4 linked regions of the Callithrix jacchus genome follow. The main gene of each other region encodes a partner of the protein of the gene in region 4 in a complex. Links are inferred from orthologs where the notes say so. Each region holds a gene or a part of one and is shown on either strand. Other genes may lie near its edges. The genes, in order: PRIM2, POLA2, PRIM1 and POLA1.

Region 1 (4,146 bases), on a different chromosome or scaffold from region 4:
GGAGAATAGCTTGAACCACGAGGGCAGAGGTTGCAGTGAGGTGAGATCGCGACACTGCACTCTATCTTGGGCGACAGAACAAGAATCTGTCGCGCGGGGGTGGGGGTGGGGGTAAATAATCTACCTTATATAGTTATGAGAATAAAATGAGTTGATATGTAAACCACTTAGAACGGGTCCTGGTATAAAGTCAGTGCCAGCTACAGTTTAGTCTAGGCTGGGTAGGTGCTTTGAAGCTTGATATTGTTTTAATATACTCTGCATTTCTAAAAACGTGAACATTTCAAAGCGTTTATTTGATCTCCAAAGGACTACGGTTACCAGAACCTCATCCCAGCACATTTGTAAGCGAGACACGCCTCCCAGAGGCCACGAGTGAAGTTAATTCCAGTTCTCGAAAATCTTGCAGACAGCAGAGAACTGGGGTGGCTCTGACCCGCAGCTTGGGAGTCTGCAGTCCGACATCTGGAAAGTAAGCGGCAGGTCCACTTCATCTCCAGCGGCTCCGCTTCTTCCACCCTACCTTCCCTCTGAGGCTGGGCTCTGCTAATTGCTGTAGACTGCAGAATGATTTCTGCGAATGTGCATTCTTTCATTCATTCGAGTTCATTCCACAGATAATTCAGCTGAGCGCTTACTCTGTGCGAGGCATTGCCGGGGAGCGGGGAAGTGAACTGAATGTGGAACCTGACAGTAAAGGGCTTGCGCCCAATAGGAAATTCAAAATGCGCATTGTACGTAGATGGGCAAACTAACGATGATCTTGTAGTTTCTGTTTCCTCACGTGCCAAATGGGGGTAATACAACATTATAGGGCTTTATCGGTCTGTGAAAGATTAGAGAAAAAAAAAAAAAAAAAAAAAAAAAAAAAAAAAAAAGAGCCCCTAATCGTCAGCTAGGTGCAAAAAGGATCCTAATGCCTGTTTTCGTCATTCCTCCCCCGATTGAAAGTGATGAGTGCCAGCCCTGCAAGTTAAAGCGCCATATTTTCCTCATTTTACGGAGTGTTTGTTTGGTGTCTCCAAACGAAGTTATATTGGTTTAATTTTCGGCATATGCGAATTTTCCTCGCTGGCTAGCATTCAGCATCCTAGTTTCAACCGTTAAAAGCGGCTGACTCCACATACAGGAAGTACATCTAAAAAAAAAATCCCCAAAACACTGATATCCAAAAATTTTAAAGCTGGCAAAGTGGATGAAACACATTGAATTCCCAGACGCGCTTCACTGAGCATGCGCAAAGCCCAAGGCCCAACCCCCTCCAATCCGCCAACGGGAAGTGGGGGAGGGCGGGCCTTCTGCGCTAGTCACTTCCGCCTCCGGTTTCATATGAACTCTCCCGCCACCCGGGAACAGTGGCTGTCAGAGTTTGTGTTTTCCGGAGATTGAATTCTTGCAGGTAAGGGAAACTCCCGCGAATTTAGGACAGAGAGCAATCTTATTGTTGAGGCTTGCAAGTCGAGAGAAAGGAGAAATCCATCACTTTGCAGGCAGCAGGAGCAGGACAGACTTGGCGGGTTCGGAGTATTGGATATTGGTTGGTTGGTTGGGGCAGGCACCTAGGTGCCAGAGAGGAGTTGAGGGGAGATAGGTTTGCCCGTGGAGTGGCGCGGGGGGTTGGGGATGGAATTTTTATAAGGCACTTGTGGATGCTCCCTAAAAGGAGTTCTGAAAGACCGTTGTTGTTTCCCAAAGTCATAGGAAGTAACTGGACCCAGTCCATCAAATAAGAACCTCATTTAGCCAGAACCTACGGCAGTTTCCTCTTGAGCTCAGAATTGCAGACCACTAAAACTTTATTTTAACTCTTGTGATCCCAAAGTGACACACAGGCCTATAATGAGCAGGCATCACCTGACTTTCATGTTGATGAAAATTAGGTTCACCACCTGCATCTCCTCTAGCACTTCTTCCACCCCCATTACAAAATTATTATAGGTGTATTGTAGAAAATCTGGAAAATACAGAAGGATATCATCCAGGAGTTGCCACTGTTAACGTTTTGTGCATGCCTTCAACTCCATTTTTTTCCCCTGTGTTTGTGAAATTAGATTTTTGTGCTTTTTTTTGTTGTTGTTGTTTTCTTTTCAACTTTATTTTCCATCATTTTATGCTTTTTATGTGCTTCCTTCTAAGGAGACCAAGATGGAGTTTACTGGAAAACTGCGGAGGATGCCGTGGTTGGCGGGTGACCAGAGAAATGCTTCCTACCCTCATTGCCTTCAGTTTTACTTGCAGCCGCCTTCTGAAAACATATCTTTAATAGAATTTGAAAACTTGGCTATTGATAGAGTTAAATGTAAGTGATACTTAAACTAGAATGTATATATTCTTGAGAAGCTCACTTACCCTTTGTGATAATGAATGAAAGTAATTCCTTCGTTCAGCAATCCATTCAACAAATATTTATTGAGGTTTTGGAACTCAGTCATTATTTATTGTACAATGCATATTATTGAGTGCCGCTGTGTTCTAAGTGGCAGGGATTTTGAGATGAATAACATAATTTTTTGTGGAAGCTATATTCTAGTACATGGACACAGACATCCAAAATAATAGTCATAAATCAGTATTTTAACTGCTCTAGTAGAAGTTAATGGTAGTGCTGTTGAAACAAAGAAGTGAGAGTGACTGACTTAGTCTGATTAAGTAAGGCTTCTTAGAGATGTTGAAATGCGATCTGGACCTTGAAGAATGAGTAGAAATTTTCCAGCAGAGAAGTGAAGAGTTTTTCCAAGCTGAGATAATGGCCTATGCAAACATTTGGAGCATGAAAGAGAATTTGTTATTTGAGATAACAGTTACAAGTACAGGAGTTTAGGGTGGATGGAGAAGTATGGATAACAGAGGGCATTTTGTGCCATGCTAATCATGTAATAATGAGGTGTAAGAAGGATATGGCCATTGTCCTGGGGGCCTACTTATCCTCAGTGTGTTGCTAGAGGAAAGAATGGGTTAGACATGAACTGAAGCAGAAACACTAGCATTGTCTTCAGAGTTTATGTTCCAGGATATCCTTGTGGGAAAATCAGAAGGAAAGGTAAGATACTGTTAATCATTCTTAGAGGAGCATGATAAGCAATGCTAATACAGAGAGGAGGCACTCCTCAGTACCTGTGTGTTGAGTGAAAGAATAAAGACAAGGGAGAAAAGAGTTTTAGAAAGCTTAGCAGTGTCAGATCCTTCAGAGGGATTAAGATGGTGATTGAAAAGTGTCCCTTGAGTTTGGCTCTTGAGGTGAAATGATAAGGGTGTGAACTACAGCAGCGACAATGGCAGTGATAGGAAGGGAGAGATATAAGGGATGCTGAGGAGGGGCATTGATAGGATTTGGTGACTGGACATGAGAAATGAGGGAGCAGGTGTGGAGTGGCTGAAGTTCCCGTTTGGATGATCTGATGCAGAGAAAGTCTGCTGGTGGAGATGGGCATGGCAGGAAGAGGAGTAGGAATGAGGGAAGGATAATTAAATTTGGATAACATGATAAGGAGGTACCTGTGGGACATGGGTTTATGTTCAGGAGACAATTAGATGTTTTTAGTTCTTGACTTCACAAATGCCTCCAGATAATAATTCATCTGAGGAACGATTGATAAGGGGCTTTAGGAACCTTTGAACAATATGTAGCATCTGTTCAGGATGGTTCATTTGGCTGATTGGATGGCCTTTCTTCTTCACTGTTGTGCCCTGCCCTTGGCTTCATCGGGAAAGGAAGGGCTGCTTTTTTTCTGATGAATCTATGCTGAGTAAATGAAGCCAACTGCCGAACAGGCAGCTACATATGAAGGATGCAAACAAGGAGTGCTTAGAATTTTTTTTTTTCCATATTGATATACTTTTCTGTTCCTCAGCAACAGTGGCTCCGTATAGGAATGATTATTCACCATCCATCCTCTTCCCTTATTGAGAATCCCTGGTATTAGATTATGCTGTGGGACATGGATATTTTTTGCATGTAGATGGACATTTTCCTCTTATAAGCATGTGTAGTTTATATAATGTAGTTACAGGAAATAAACTGGCAATTACTTGTCATGTTCTGTAAATAGGTAATTGTGGAATTGCCCTCCATAGATTTGGTCTTGGATTTAGTTTTAAAACAATATCTTAGGCTGGGTGCGGTGGCTCATACCTGTAATCCCAGCA
Region 2 (3,562 bases), on a different chromosome or scaffold from region 4:
GTGGGAACTGCACAGCTCTCGCTTCACTGCTGTGACTTCTCACAGTTCCTTCTGTTTGGTCTATGGCAAGGATTCAAGGCCCCACCCTCACTGAGAGTTTCTGCCACCACTGGCTCTAGCCTCTGGTGGTGTCCTATGTACCCTGGGGAAGCAGTGACTTGGGAGGAACTTGGGCTCACCCAAAACAATTGCCTACACAACCAGATGTTTTGGGTCTCACAGGATTTCACTGTGTAAGTCACCAAACACTTCTGAAAACCACCCTGGGAAGATTCCCGTGGAATATTAGTTTATACAAGAGGGAGTGAGAAAAGGAACTAAGTCTAGAAGAAGAAGAGCAATGGAAGAGTGAAACCTTGTCCTTTCAAGTACGTTTATCTTTGCGTTTTACAAAAATGCCGCTTAATTTGGTGTCCACACTTGAAGTTCAAGAGTTCTATCTGATCTCAGTAGTTCAAAAAGAAGAAAAGAATAGGAAGTGCCATGATCTTTTTTTTTTGAGACAGAGTTTCACTCTTGTTGCCAGGCTGGAGTGCAATGGCGTGATCTCGGCTTGCTACAACCTCCGCCTCCTGGGTTCAAGTGACTCTCCTGCCTGAGCCTCCCAAGAAGCTGAGATTACAGAGATGCACCACCATGCCTGGCTAATTTTGTATTTTTAGTAGAGATGGGATTTCACATGTTGGTCAGGCAGGTCTTGAACTCCTGACCTTAGGAGATCCGCCTGCCTCAGCCTCCCAAAGTGCTGGGACTACAAGTGTGAGCTACTGTGCCCAGCTTCTTTTTTTTTTTTTTTTTTTTTTTTTGAGACAGAGTGTTGCTTTTTGCCTAAGCTGGAGTACAATGGTATAATCTTGGCTCACTGCAATCTCTGCCTCTTGGGTTCAAGTGATTCTTCTGCCTCTGACTCCCAAGTAGCTGGGATTACAGGTGCCCACCACCACGCCTGGCTAATTTTGTATTTTTAGTAGAGACAGGATTTCACCAAGTTGGCCAGGCTGGTCTTGAACTCCTAACCTCAGGTGATGCACCCACCTCGGCCTCCCAAAGTGCTGAGATTGTAGGCATGAGCCACTGTGCCTGGCCCAGCCATGACTTTTAAACAGTTTCAGTTTCTTAATGGGAAGCTCTGGAGAAACCTAGGAAGCTTAAGGTTCTGTCCAGTATTTTGAATTCTGACCTTCTTGTGCCTTCAATAATTGTTCGTAGACACTGCTTGAAAACATCTTCAAATGGACTTGTCAGTAGACAGTTCTGCAAGAAAGGAAAGGAGATAGATTTAGAAGGCAGATGTTTGGTGTTTATTCACTTGTGTAACATTGTTAGGTGCCAGCTGTTGTGCTACGAGCTGAAGGAGACGCAAAGAAAAAGATGTGGTCTTTGTCTTAAGGAGCTAAGTTTGGTCAAAGGCAGGAGAGGAGATGTGGGAATTAATCCTCTTGAATGCAATCTGAGAGACTAAAAGGAAGAGTACTTTGAAATATTTTCCGTGGAACGTAAAATATCATGAGACAAAGGATCAGAGGTTCTAGACGTCAGCCATGGAGATGTCCCACCAAGGCCCATTCGTGTTTTATGCAAAGGACAGCAAGATATGAGTTATAAGCCTGGGGTATCAGCGAGGATAGGTACTTTCACAGGGCAGCCCATGACTTAGCACCTGCATTTGTGCAAGCGCTCTTGTGCCTTAGCACCAGGCATCACAAACAAAGGAACATTGGTACTGATATATTTATATGTCCCTCCCCTAGCTTCCAGACAGCCTTATATTCCAGTGAAAGAAAGCCCTGGGATTCAAGGTCTTTATTAATAAAGTGCCCTGCTAAAATGATTTTCTGATTAGCCACAGGAATTAATGTGTTTGTTACAGATGTGGGATAAACACTAAAAAATGAAAAGTGAGAGCCTGACTGAATGCAAGTACCTAGGAGCCCTTCCTGCCCCAGCCTGAGTCACTCACCTCCACTTGCTCATGCTTAGCATCCAGGAAAGGGCCAAACTGCAAGGGGAGAAACAAAGACATCAAAAGAACACATCAGAATCACATGTGTCTGTGAATGACTTCAGCTCAGCTCTTCTGACAGTTCTCTGCCCAGGGCCCATGTATCCCTCCAAGGCTGCCTGTAGAGCCTGGGACAGCTAGCAGATGGGCTGGCAGGGGCACCAAGCCAATTTCACAGGCAGGAGCATGTATGCCCCGGATGGAGGGCGGCTCCCAGGGCCCCATAACCAGCACTATTGTCCCCTATAACATTGGGTTCACGCCTGTAATTCTAGCACTTTGGGAGGCTGAGACGGGCAGACTGCCTGAGCCCAGGAGTTCAAGACCAGCCTGGGCAATATAGTGAAATCCTGTCTCTACAAAAAATACAAAAATTAGAAATGGTGGCATGTGCCTGTAGTTCAAGCTATTGGGAAGACTGAGGCAGGGAGGATAGGGTAGGATCACTTGAGCCCAAGAGATGGAGGCTGCAGTGAGCTGAGAATGCGCCACTGCACTCCAGCCTAGGCGACAGTCTTGCTCTGCCTCAAAAAAAGCCACACTGGACTTTTTTCTGACTTTCTAAACCTAGCAAAAGAAATTGACCACCATACTAACAGTATTTTGAGCTTTAAAAAGAGATTAGTCCAGAAGTTGGAGTAATGAGAAAGAGGTAAGAATACTGTAAAATCAATGAAGGGCGGTAAAAAAAAAAGTTCACCTTTTATTTCTTCTTCTTCTTATTATTTTTTGAGATGGAGTCTTGCTCTGTTGCTCAGGCTGGAGGGCAGTAGTGCAATCTTGGCTCACTGCAACCTCCACCTTCCAGGTTCAAGCGATTCTCTTGCCTCGGCCTACCAAGTAGCCGGGAGTACAGGTGCCTGCACCATACCTGGCTAATTTTTCTGTATTTTTAGTAGAGACAGGGTTTCACTATGTTGGCCAAGCTGATTTAGAACTCCTGCCCCCCTCAAGTGATCCTCCTACCTCAGCCTCCCAAAGTGCTAGGATTACAGGCGTCAGCCACTGCGTGCAGCCAAAGTTGGGTTTTTCAATTTAGCGAAGGCCTATAGATCATGTATACCTCTCCAAAGACATAACAAATGAAAAGATATTTTCTAAAAGGAGGAGGAACTGACATGCTTCCTAAAAATTTAGAGCTGCATTAAAACTGTTTTCCAAGGCCATCTCCTCAGCTTTCCCACTGGTGCGTCTTACCAGGATGCAGACATCTGGCCGGTCGTGGTTGATGACGGCAATCAGGTCGAGGAGGGGGTCATATGTGATGCTGTCAGATGTGGTGTATGGCCCACAGGCAACCAGCACCATGGTTTGCTCAAAGTCTAAGACAGAGGATTGTGGGTCTTGATTAGAAGAGGACTGGCATTAGAGTGGTGGGAGGAGAAAGGACAATTAGGGGAAAATGCCACAGGGGTGAACTCATTGAGTCCTTTATGTGTGCAAGTCTGGGGACCCAAGGTGAGGAAGACCTCATGTCCATCCTCCAAGAACACTCCACTAGGTGGTAGAGGCAGAGACAGGCAGGTTTGCTAATACTTGGAACACGCAGTTGGCACTTTA
Region 3 (4,238 bases), on a different chromosome or scaffold from region 4:
GCCCACAATTGACATAGGTATCATTACACAGTAAGAGTGAGTGGCAGATGAGCACATCAATAGCAAATGGGTTCCCTTCATACTTGTAAAGCTCTCCCTGATGCTGCAAGCTTTCTATAATTCATATTTTCATATACCTGGGTGTTCTGTTTGAGAGATTGAATATATGAACAGTGACCAGATCATGTATAAAAACAGAACTCTGACCCACAATCTCCAACCTGCCAGGGAAACCAACCCCCTTATCTATAATAAACAGCACAGGAAGCAAGCCTGCTACAAGTCAGACTTGTAGAAAGTCAGACTGCTAACTCTTGTGATGATCCTAGAGGCCAAACAGCAACCCCTGAAGCAATGGGCCCAAAATGCTGTAATATCTTACAGCTTCCTTAATTTCATCATAGCTTCCAACATAGGTCCAACCAACCAAAGCCAAACATGCACCCCTAAACCAATCACATACCACATCCTACTTCAAGTTTGCCCACGTACAGACTCTCCAAGCAAACAGCCTCCAATTAAAGAATACCCTGATGGATTCCTTTTTCCCAGTATAAAGCTTTCCTACTACTCTGCCTGCCTTTGAGTTCCTACCAAATGCAAATGATGGTGACTGACTCGCTTGCTATAGTAAGGTCTGAATAAATAGCCTATGCTTTTCTTATCTGGTTGATATTTGTTTATTTCCACATATTGGAGCTAGTAATCCATGAAATTCCATGAATAACTAATTTCCAAAACTTTTTCTTTTTTCTAGACGCGGTCCCCTCTGCTGCCCAGGCTGGAGTGCAGTGGCACGATCGTGGTGTACCACAGCCTTGACCTCCCAGACTGAAGCCATTGATCCCCCACAACTTCAGCCTCTGGGGTAGTTGGGACTACAGGCGCACACAACTACACCTGGCTAGGGGTGTGTGTGTGTGTGTGTGTGTGTGTGTGACGGATCTCACAATATTGCCCAGACCGGTGTGGCCTCAAGCAATCCTCCTGCCTTGGCCTAAGTGCTGAGGTTACAGTTATGAGCCACCGTGCCAGCCTCCAAAACTTTTTAAAAGATACTGGTGTTATTTCTAAAACATCCAAAAAGTTGATTTATATTATTAAGATGAAGTAAAAAGAATGCCCCACGCATCTTCATCTTAATAACCTAAATCCTAATAACTTAAATCTAAATCTAAAACTTCATCTTAATAACCTAAATCAACATGTTACAGGTCTCACATTTCCGGAGAAGATCCTCTTCCTGGAATGCACGCGGCCTTCTACCCACAAGAGCGGTGGCCCTAGTGCCCGAGCGCGTAGGCAGAGCGTCAACTACTGCGGCTCGCGCAGGCCCCGCCCACACCACGTGAGAACTACAATTCCCGGCGGCCCCCGCAGAAGGCGGGCCGCGGCCCTAAGCGCCTGCGCAGTAGCGGGGCCGCCGGCTGTGCTGTTCCCGCCAATTCTTGTGGTAGCCCTGCTGGGTTGAGTTCCGCGCTCCATGGAGACGTTTGACCCCACCGAGCTGCCCGAGCTGCTTAAACTTTATTACCGGAGGCTCTTTCCCTACTCTCAGTACTATCGCTGGCTCAACTACGGCGGAGGTGATGGAGGCGGGGAATGGGGTCAGGAATAGATTGTGAGGAGGTTGGAGGCGGGGTGTCCTTAGAATGACCATGTGAAGCGCCGTCAGTGTGCCTGGCTTTGTGCCGCGGGCCTTCTTATGCTCTCTCGAGCCCGCCCCACCACTTCCTAGGTATAAATGGGCCGAGACAGAATGTAATGACCAGCCTGCGGCCACATGGTAAAAAAAACCGAACCGCCGCTCCTACCTCTGCGTGGCCAGGCCCACATTAGGTACCCTGTTTACTTGCTGCGGTGCCCAGGGGGTTACTAGGGCGTATCTGCAGAGGCCTGCTTTGCATCAGGAGCGGAAGAGCCTCTCAGAGGAGTAGAGATAGTTTCTTCCTTGCAGCTGAATTTATTAGTGCAAATCGAGGAGAGAGGGGTGGCATTACATATTTAAAGTATTTCCGCATCTGTTTCGTCTTTTGGACCTTTCCCTAGCAAATGTGGAAGGGTAACTGCTTTGAAATTAGGGACTAGGTCTTGTGGGGTAGTTTGTGTCTTTGTTTTTACGTCTACCACAGTGTTAAGCATAGGGGGCTCATTACAAATGTCTCTGGCTGGGTGCTGTGGCTCAGGCCTGTAATCCGAGCACTTTGGGAAGCCAAGGAGGACGGATTACCTGAGGTCAGGGGGAGACCAGCCCGGCCAACATGGTGAAACCCCGTATCTACAAAAAATGCAAAAATTATCTGGGCGTGGTGGCACGCGTGCCTGTAGTCCCAGCTACTCAGAAGGTTGAGGTGGGAGGATCGCTTGAACCCGGTAGGTGGAGGTTGAAGTGAGCCTAGATCCCACTACACTCCAGTTTGGGCGACAAAGCAAGAAGCGAGACTCCCTCTCCAAAAAAAAAAAAACACTTCTCATTGGCTAAAGTTATAATGTCCCGAGCCAAATAAAATAGCAAATTAACTTTAAAATGTACGTTTATTTTCCAGTGATAAAGAATTACTTTCAACACCGTGAATTTTCATTCACATTGAAAGATGATATTTACGTTCGCTACCAGTCCTTCAACAACCAGAGTGATCTGGAAAAGGAGATGCAGAAAATGAATCCATACAAGATTGATATAGGCGCAGTATACTCCCACAGAGTAAGATCTCTTTTTTTTAACGTATTTTGTTGTTTTATTTTGGAAACCGAGAATGGGTTGGTTCCTCTAGCATTTTGAGATTAAATTTTTAGAGTTTATTCTAGATGAAAAGCCACTTTTTAATTGGCAAGTAGATTAATCCTTTTTTGTTCTTCGGCATTTTACATTGCTGATGAAATCGTTTGAGAGTGAATTGGTTGCATTCTTACTAGGACGGAAAACTTGAGTATCTTGCTACTAGGAAGAGGAAGTCAACATGATTTAAAACAGGAGGCGGGGGGGGGGGGGGGGGGGGGGGGGCAGTGGCTCACACCGGTAATCTCAGCACTTTGGGAGGCTGAGATGGGCAGATCACCTGAGGTAGGTCAGGAGTTCGAGACTAGCCTGGCCAACATGGTGAAATTCTGTCTCTACCAAAAATGCAAAAATTAGCTGGGTGTAATTGCGGGGACCTGTAATCCCAGCTACTCAGGAGGCTGAGGCAGGAGAATCTCTTGAACTTGGGAGGCGGAGGTTGCAGTGAGCCAAGATCATCATACCACTGCACTCCAGCCTGGGCAACAAGAGCAAAACTGTCACAAAAAGAAAAAAAAGGGGATGGGGGGGAAATAAAAGAGAATTACATTCTCTCCCACCATGGAAATTATTCTTTTTTTCTTTTAATTATTTATTTTTACTTAGGTCAAATATACATAAAAAAATTTACCATCTTTACCATGTTTAAATGTACAGTTCATTCATAGTAAATATTTATATTATTTTTCCTTCATACCCCTGGAATTATTCTTGACTCCTCTCTTTCTCACACTCCCATACCCATTCTGTTAGGAAATCCCTGTGGCAATACCATATGTATATCTAAAATTCAGCCATTACTACCAGTGCTACCAACATTATCATCTCATCTGAATTACTATAAAAACCTCCTCAGAGTTTACCCTTGTAGAATCTAGAATTCATTCTCAATACAGAAGCCAGAATGATCCTTTTAAAACAACTAAGATTCTGTAATTCCTCTACACAAAACATTCTCTGGTGGCTGCTCATTTCACTGACTAAAAGTCACTCACTTCTCTCCCCCTCACTCACTTCATTTCTGCCACACTGACCCTTGCTCAAGCTGTTTCCACTGCCTAGAACCCGTTTCTACAGGTATCTACTTGGTTCATCTCCTCACCTCCTTCAAATCTTTACTCAAATAGCACCTCCAAACCTACCACTCTCCCACCCCCGCCACTGATATATACTAAGTGCCTGTAAGAGTGCCTAGCAAGAGAGAGTACACCATAAATATATGTTGAGTGAATGAACAAACCAAAATTGCCCCTCTTCCCCTTCTCAAATAAACATACTGGTAAGTGGAGAGAATATATACATAGCATAATAGCTTTTATGTGGAGTTTTTCATGTTATTTAACTTGTTCTTTATATTAATCCTCATTCTTTTTTACAAAGCAGAAAACAGGCCCAGAGAACTTGAATAGTTTGTCCAAGCTCACACACAATTTCTAAATGATAGAGCTGGGACTTAAAC
Region 4 (3,562 bases):
CCCTATTTAAGATGCAGTCTCCCCAAATTCCTTATGCCCCTACCCTGCTCTATTTTCCCATTTTCCATATACTTGTTACCTCCTAAAATGATATAATTTCTTGTTTATGGTATCTATTTTTTATTATACATTTCAAACGAGGCTAGGAGTCTTTTCTGTTTTGATCACTGCTGTATCCTGAGTGCCTAGAATAATGTCAGATATATAGTAAATGTTCAAAAATATTTGATTGATAAATGGGAGAATGAAAGTTTTATCATAATTTTGGGTCAGCTTTAAAATAGGTTAGAAAGAAATGTTGTCAGTGTCTGCTCTTTCATGAAATTTGCTTTTTGTTTCCATCTCATAGGGCCGGAGTGGATTTGGTGAAAGAAATGCTACCTGTGGTCGAATGATCTGTGATGTGGAAATTTCAGCAAGGGAATTGATTCGTTGTAAAAGCTACCATCTGTCCGAACTTGTTCAGCAGATTCTAAAAAAGGAAAGGGCTATAATCCCAATGGAAAATATACGAAATATGTACAGGTATGATCCTAGATTCTTCAGAATTCATCTGTCTTGAAATTAACAATAGCAGAACACCAGTACTATTCTTAGTCTGGAGAGGCATGAGCCAGTGGTGCTGTAGAGGGGAAATTGTCTTTGTCAGTGCTACCATCTCCACTGCTTTCATAATTTGAACTAGTTTAGCTCTTGAATTACTGTAATTGATCAGTTTATCTCTATCTCCCTCACCTGTGTTAACACTTTCTTAATGTTTCCTAACAGTAGTTTGGATTTAGATTTCTACTCTTAATTCGTTTATTCAGGAATTAGGGTAGATACTTTGGAAATGTAAAAACTGAGCAATCATTAAGTTATTTAGAGGTATCACTTGCTTATTTCTTCCTCCTACTCCTCTGGTCATCTCTCATTCGTTTGTTCCTGCTAGTTCTTTCTGAGTCCTTCCTTTGACTTCTTTTCTGACTTTGCTTCCTCTCTGGGTGATCATAGGGAGTCTTAGGAATTTAAATATCATGTGGATGCCTATGCCTCCCACCTGTGTATCTTCAGGTTAGACCTCCCTAAATTCTAGAATCAATGTATCTACTTACCTATTTTACTTGATACCTAATGTGAACTCCCAGCTTGTTCAAAACTGAGCTCTAATCTTCTATCCTAGGTTCTTCCTGTAGTCTTTCCTTACTAAATTAGTAAGCGTATTTTTCCGTTATCACTGGACACTTCAGAGTTTTACTTAGCCCAAAATCTCTGTGGCACCTTTGGTTCCTCTCTCTCATATCCCACAGTAGATGTATGAGGGAATCCTGTCAGTTTTATCTTCTAAATATCTCGAAGTCTGACCACTTCTTTCCGATTCTGTTGAACCCATCCTGTCCAAGCCACTATCCTTTTTCCCCTGGATTACTGGGTTTATATGCCTGTCCCCTTCCTTTTGCCCTTACCCCTTTATAATCGGTTCTCAATCCAGAACCAGAGTTATGCTAAAATCAAGTCAGATGTGTCCAGAATCTTCCAGTGACTCTTTGTTTCATTCAGAGTAAGAAGTGAAGTTCTTGTTTTTACTTATAAGCTCCATACAGTGTGTCTCTATGCCATTAACTCTGTCCTTATCTCCTGCTACTCTTTCCATTATTCTCTCTGACCCAGTCATATGGCCTCTTTCCTAGTCCTGGAACTGCCAGATTTGCATGCAGCTCAGGGCTTTTGAGTGTGCTGTCCTGTCTGCGTGGAGTGCTCTTTCCATAAGGCTTGTTCCCTTACCTCTTCCAGATGTTTATTCTCAGTGAAATCTTCCACTGTTTCCTAATAAAAATTTCGGTCTCTGCTTCCGATACTTAATATTCCCATTGCTTAACTTTTAAAGTTATGTAACATACTATATACATAATTTCTTTTTCTTTTTTATACTCTGTCTCCCCCATGAGGACATAAGCTCCAGGAGGATAGGAAGTTTTGTTTGTTTTGGTCACAGCCAACTCCTGGCACATAGTAAGCATGCAATATATACTCACTGGATGGAATGAATGAAAGGATTTAGATAGTTTTCAGGCTTGTAGTTATTATATTACTTCAGTTTTTCTTTATGGGATTGTGTGTGTGTGTGTGTGAGTGTGTGTGTGTGTGTGAGAAAGGCTTTGGGATCAATGGTATGAATGAATTCCTAGTTACATACTGACCTTAATTTGTTTCTGAAGCCAAGATGCTGTTGCTCTGAATTTACTTACACCCAAAATTCCTTGTAATAGTTTATGAAGTTATGATTATGGGCATTGTTTCTTTTAATTATTTGATTCTGTTTCATTCTTACTTTTCTGTACAGTGACTCTTCCCAACTGTTATACCTGTTGGAACACACCTGGAAAGATGCCAACTTCATTTTGCAGATCATGTGTGAGCTGAATGTTCTTCCATTAGCATTGCAGATCACTAACATCGCTGGGAACATTATGGTAAATTTAACTTAGAAAGGGGGAAAAAGCATTTCCTGTTGGATTCAGTGTTTGCTTGGGGTAGTTGTTATATGATAATGAGTCTAAATGCATGCTTATAAAATGAGTAACTTGGATTCTGAGAGCTGGACTTCTTTTGTAAAGGAAGAACTGGTTGGGAGAAGGGGAGGAATGCCAGGTGCAGTGTGTTGAAATTTGGACGAACATAAGGATCATCTCTCTAACATCTGGATGTGTCTGTTTGGTGGAATGGTCCATTTGGGAGTAAATAGCCAAGTTGTCAATATTTTAAGCTCTCTTTGTCTCCTTTAACTGTAATGCTCAATGAAAATGTTAGGAATAATTTAGTACTTTTTTTTTTTTTTTTAAAGCAGCCTGTTGTTAGGAATGGTTTTGAAGGAGGTGATGTGACTAAACTTAACTGACTCAAAGTTGCTTTTGTTAGTTGTGGTTTTGAGCTCAAATTTTAAAAAGAGATTCCATTTAATAGTCCAGGACACTGATGGGTGGACGATCCGAGCGTAACGAGTTCTTGTTGCTTCATGCATTTTATGAAAACAACTATATTGTGCCTGACAAGCAGATTTTCCGAAAGCCTCAGCAAAAACTGGTGGGTCCAAAGCTGTGTAGTATTTTGTTTCCTCTTATCCCTTACTTTTTATTACCTAGATAGCCTTTTTTTCTGTGATGACATCTGCTTTCAAAATAGCAAATCCCTTGTGTACTGTAGAAACCGTGTCAAGTTTATTCCCTTGTATTTGTGTCATTTCCTTATCCACTTTTCTCTTTGCAGACAAAATTTGTGAAACATGAAATTCTCTGAGGGAAGCATTAGACCTCTCTGATGGGTGACCATACATGGAATGTGTTTTGGCACCTTAGCCCTACCCAAAGTTAAATGCCAGTTAAACCTTTTATTTTCTTGAACCTATGAGCCTTTATTATTGTGTTGCATTTTTCTATACTAGTATGATCAAGGTCACCCACAATTAGGTTTCTGAAATAGCCTCCATCACTTTAGAACTAAAACTTAGTTTAGCTACTGTTTTATTAGCACTGATATGAATTGATGCAGAAATGGGAATTGAATGTTTTTTTGTTGTTGTTTG

What was found.
Region 1: the proteins of POLA1 (region 4) and PRIM2 are in contact, whole or in part, in a cryo-EM structure (PDB 8G9F), measured with the Xenopus laevis proteins. The link is inferred for Callithrix jacchus from reciprocal best matches to the Homo sapiens genes POLA1 and PRIM2. Residues at the interface, in NP_001082055.1 of Xenopus laevis: Leu842, Lys853, Ile894, Pro895, Glu896, Leu971, His974, Arg977, Glu978, Leu981, His982, Glu985, Gln988, Lys989, Asn991, Glu993, Asn1007, Asn1009, Arg1101, Asp1102, Glu1106, Gln1109, Glu1221, Asp1224, Gly1225, Asp1227, Ala1229, Leu1230, Met1233, Trp1234; in XP_018121015.1 of Xenopus laevis: Pro34, Pro35, Thr36, Glu37, Asn38, Ile39, Ser40, Leu41, Ile42, Phe44, Glu45, Ile49, Ile107, Phe110, Ile111, Leu114, Cys117, Gln118, Ser119, Glu120, Asp121, Arg123, Ala240, Arg241, Leu243, Val245, Val246, Gln247, Arg251, Leu252.
Region 2: the proteins of POLA1 (region 4) and POLA2 are in contact, whole or in part, in a cryo-EM structure (PDB 8G99), measured with the Xenopus laevis proteins. The link is inferred for Callithrix jacchus from reciprocal best matches to the Homo sapiens genes POLA1 and POLA2. Residues at the interface, in NP_001082055.1 of Xenopus laevis: Gln548, Lys551, His553, Gln554, Asn555, Phe642, Glu645, Val646, Gln649, Asn652, Leu673, Gly675, Arg676, Phe679, Lys1137, Asp1141, Pro1143, Asp1144, Ile1321, Gln1322, His1324, Asn1325, Lys1326, Leu1328, Leu1329, Arg1332, Ile1335, Lys1336, Tyr1338, Tyr1339; in XP_018112289.1 of Xenopus laevis: Met280, Tyr281, Lys282, Phe283, Met284, Phe285, Gln286, Lys287, Leu288, Met289, Ile291, Arg292, Val295, Ser296, Ile299, Glu314, Thr316, Leu320, Pro321, Gln323, Glu324, Thr325, Val326, Gln331, Gly333, Cys334, Asp335, Ser336, Asn337, Gly338.
Region 3: the proteins of POLA1 (region 4) and PRIM1 are in contact, whole or in part, in a cryo-EM structure (PDB 7OPL), measured with the Homo sapiens proteins. The link is inferred for Callithrix jacchus from reciprocal best matches to the Homo sapiens genes POLA1 and PRIM1. Residues at the interface, in NP_058633.2 of Homo sapiens: Tyr439, Ala440, Pro447, Glu448, Lys449, Ser450, Phe876, Thr877, Thr878, Gln880, Leu906; in NP_000937.1 of Homo sapiens: Asn92, Thr93, Val94, Lys95, Leu96, Gly97, Ala98.

Annotation. Positions count from the first base shown.
Region 1 is NC_133505.1:65,692,620-65,696,765, forward strand, and holds the start of PRIM2 (DNA primase large subunit), read left to right. Parts: upstream 1-1,327; 5' UTR 1,328-1,399; intron 1,400-2,136; 5' UTR 2,137-2,145; coding exon 2,146-2,299; intron 2,300-4,146. UniProt on the Homo sapiens protein: Regulatory subunit of the DNA primase complex and component of the DNA polymerase alpha complex (also known as the alpha DNA polymerase-primase complex) which play an essential role in the initiation of DNA synthesis.
Region 2 is NC_133511.1:122,375,435-122,378,996, reverse strand, and holds part of POLA2 (DNA polymerase alpha subunit B), read right to left. Parts: intron 3,325-3,562; coding exon 3,200-3,324; intron 2,000-3,199; coding exon 1,961-1,999; intron 1,255-1,960; coding exon 1,181-1,254; intron 1-1,180. UniProt on the Homo sapiens protein: Accessory subunit of the DNA polymerase alpha complex (also known as the alpha DNA polymerase-primase complex) which plays an essential role in the initiation of DNA synthesis.
Region 3 is NC_133510.1:62,890,735-62,894,972, forward strand, and holds the start of PRIM1 (DNA primase small subunit), read left to right. Parts: upstream 1-1,425; 5' UTR 1,426-1,483; coding exon 1,484-1,586; intron 1,587-2,546; coding exon 2,547-2,704; intron 2,705-4,238. UniProt on the Homo sapiens protein: Catalytic subunit of the DNA primase complex and component of the DNA polymerase alpha complex (also known as the alpha DNA polymerase-primase complex - primosome/replisome) which play an essential role in the initiation of DNA synthesis.
Region 4 is NC_133524.1:25,473,013-25,476,574, forward strand, and holds part of POLA1 (DNA polymerase alpha catalytic subunit), read left to right. Parts: intron 1-349; coding exon 350-525; intron 526-2,323; coding exon 2,324-2,453; intron 2,454-2,943; coding exon 2,944-3,063; intron 3,064-3,562. UniProt on the Homo sapiens protein: Catalytic subunit of the DNA polymerase alpha complex (also known as the alpha DNA polymerase-primase complex) which plays an essential role in the initiation of DNA synthesis.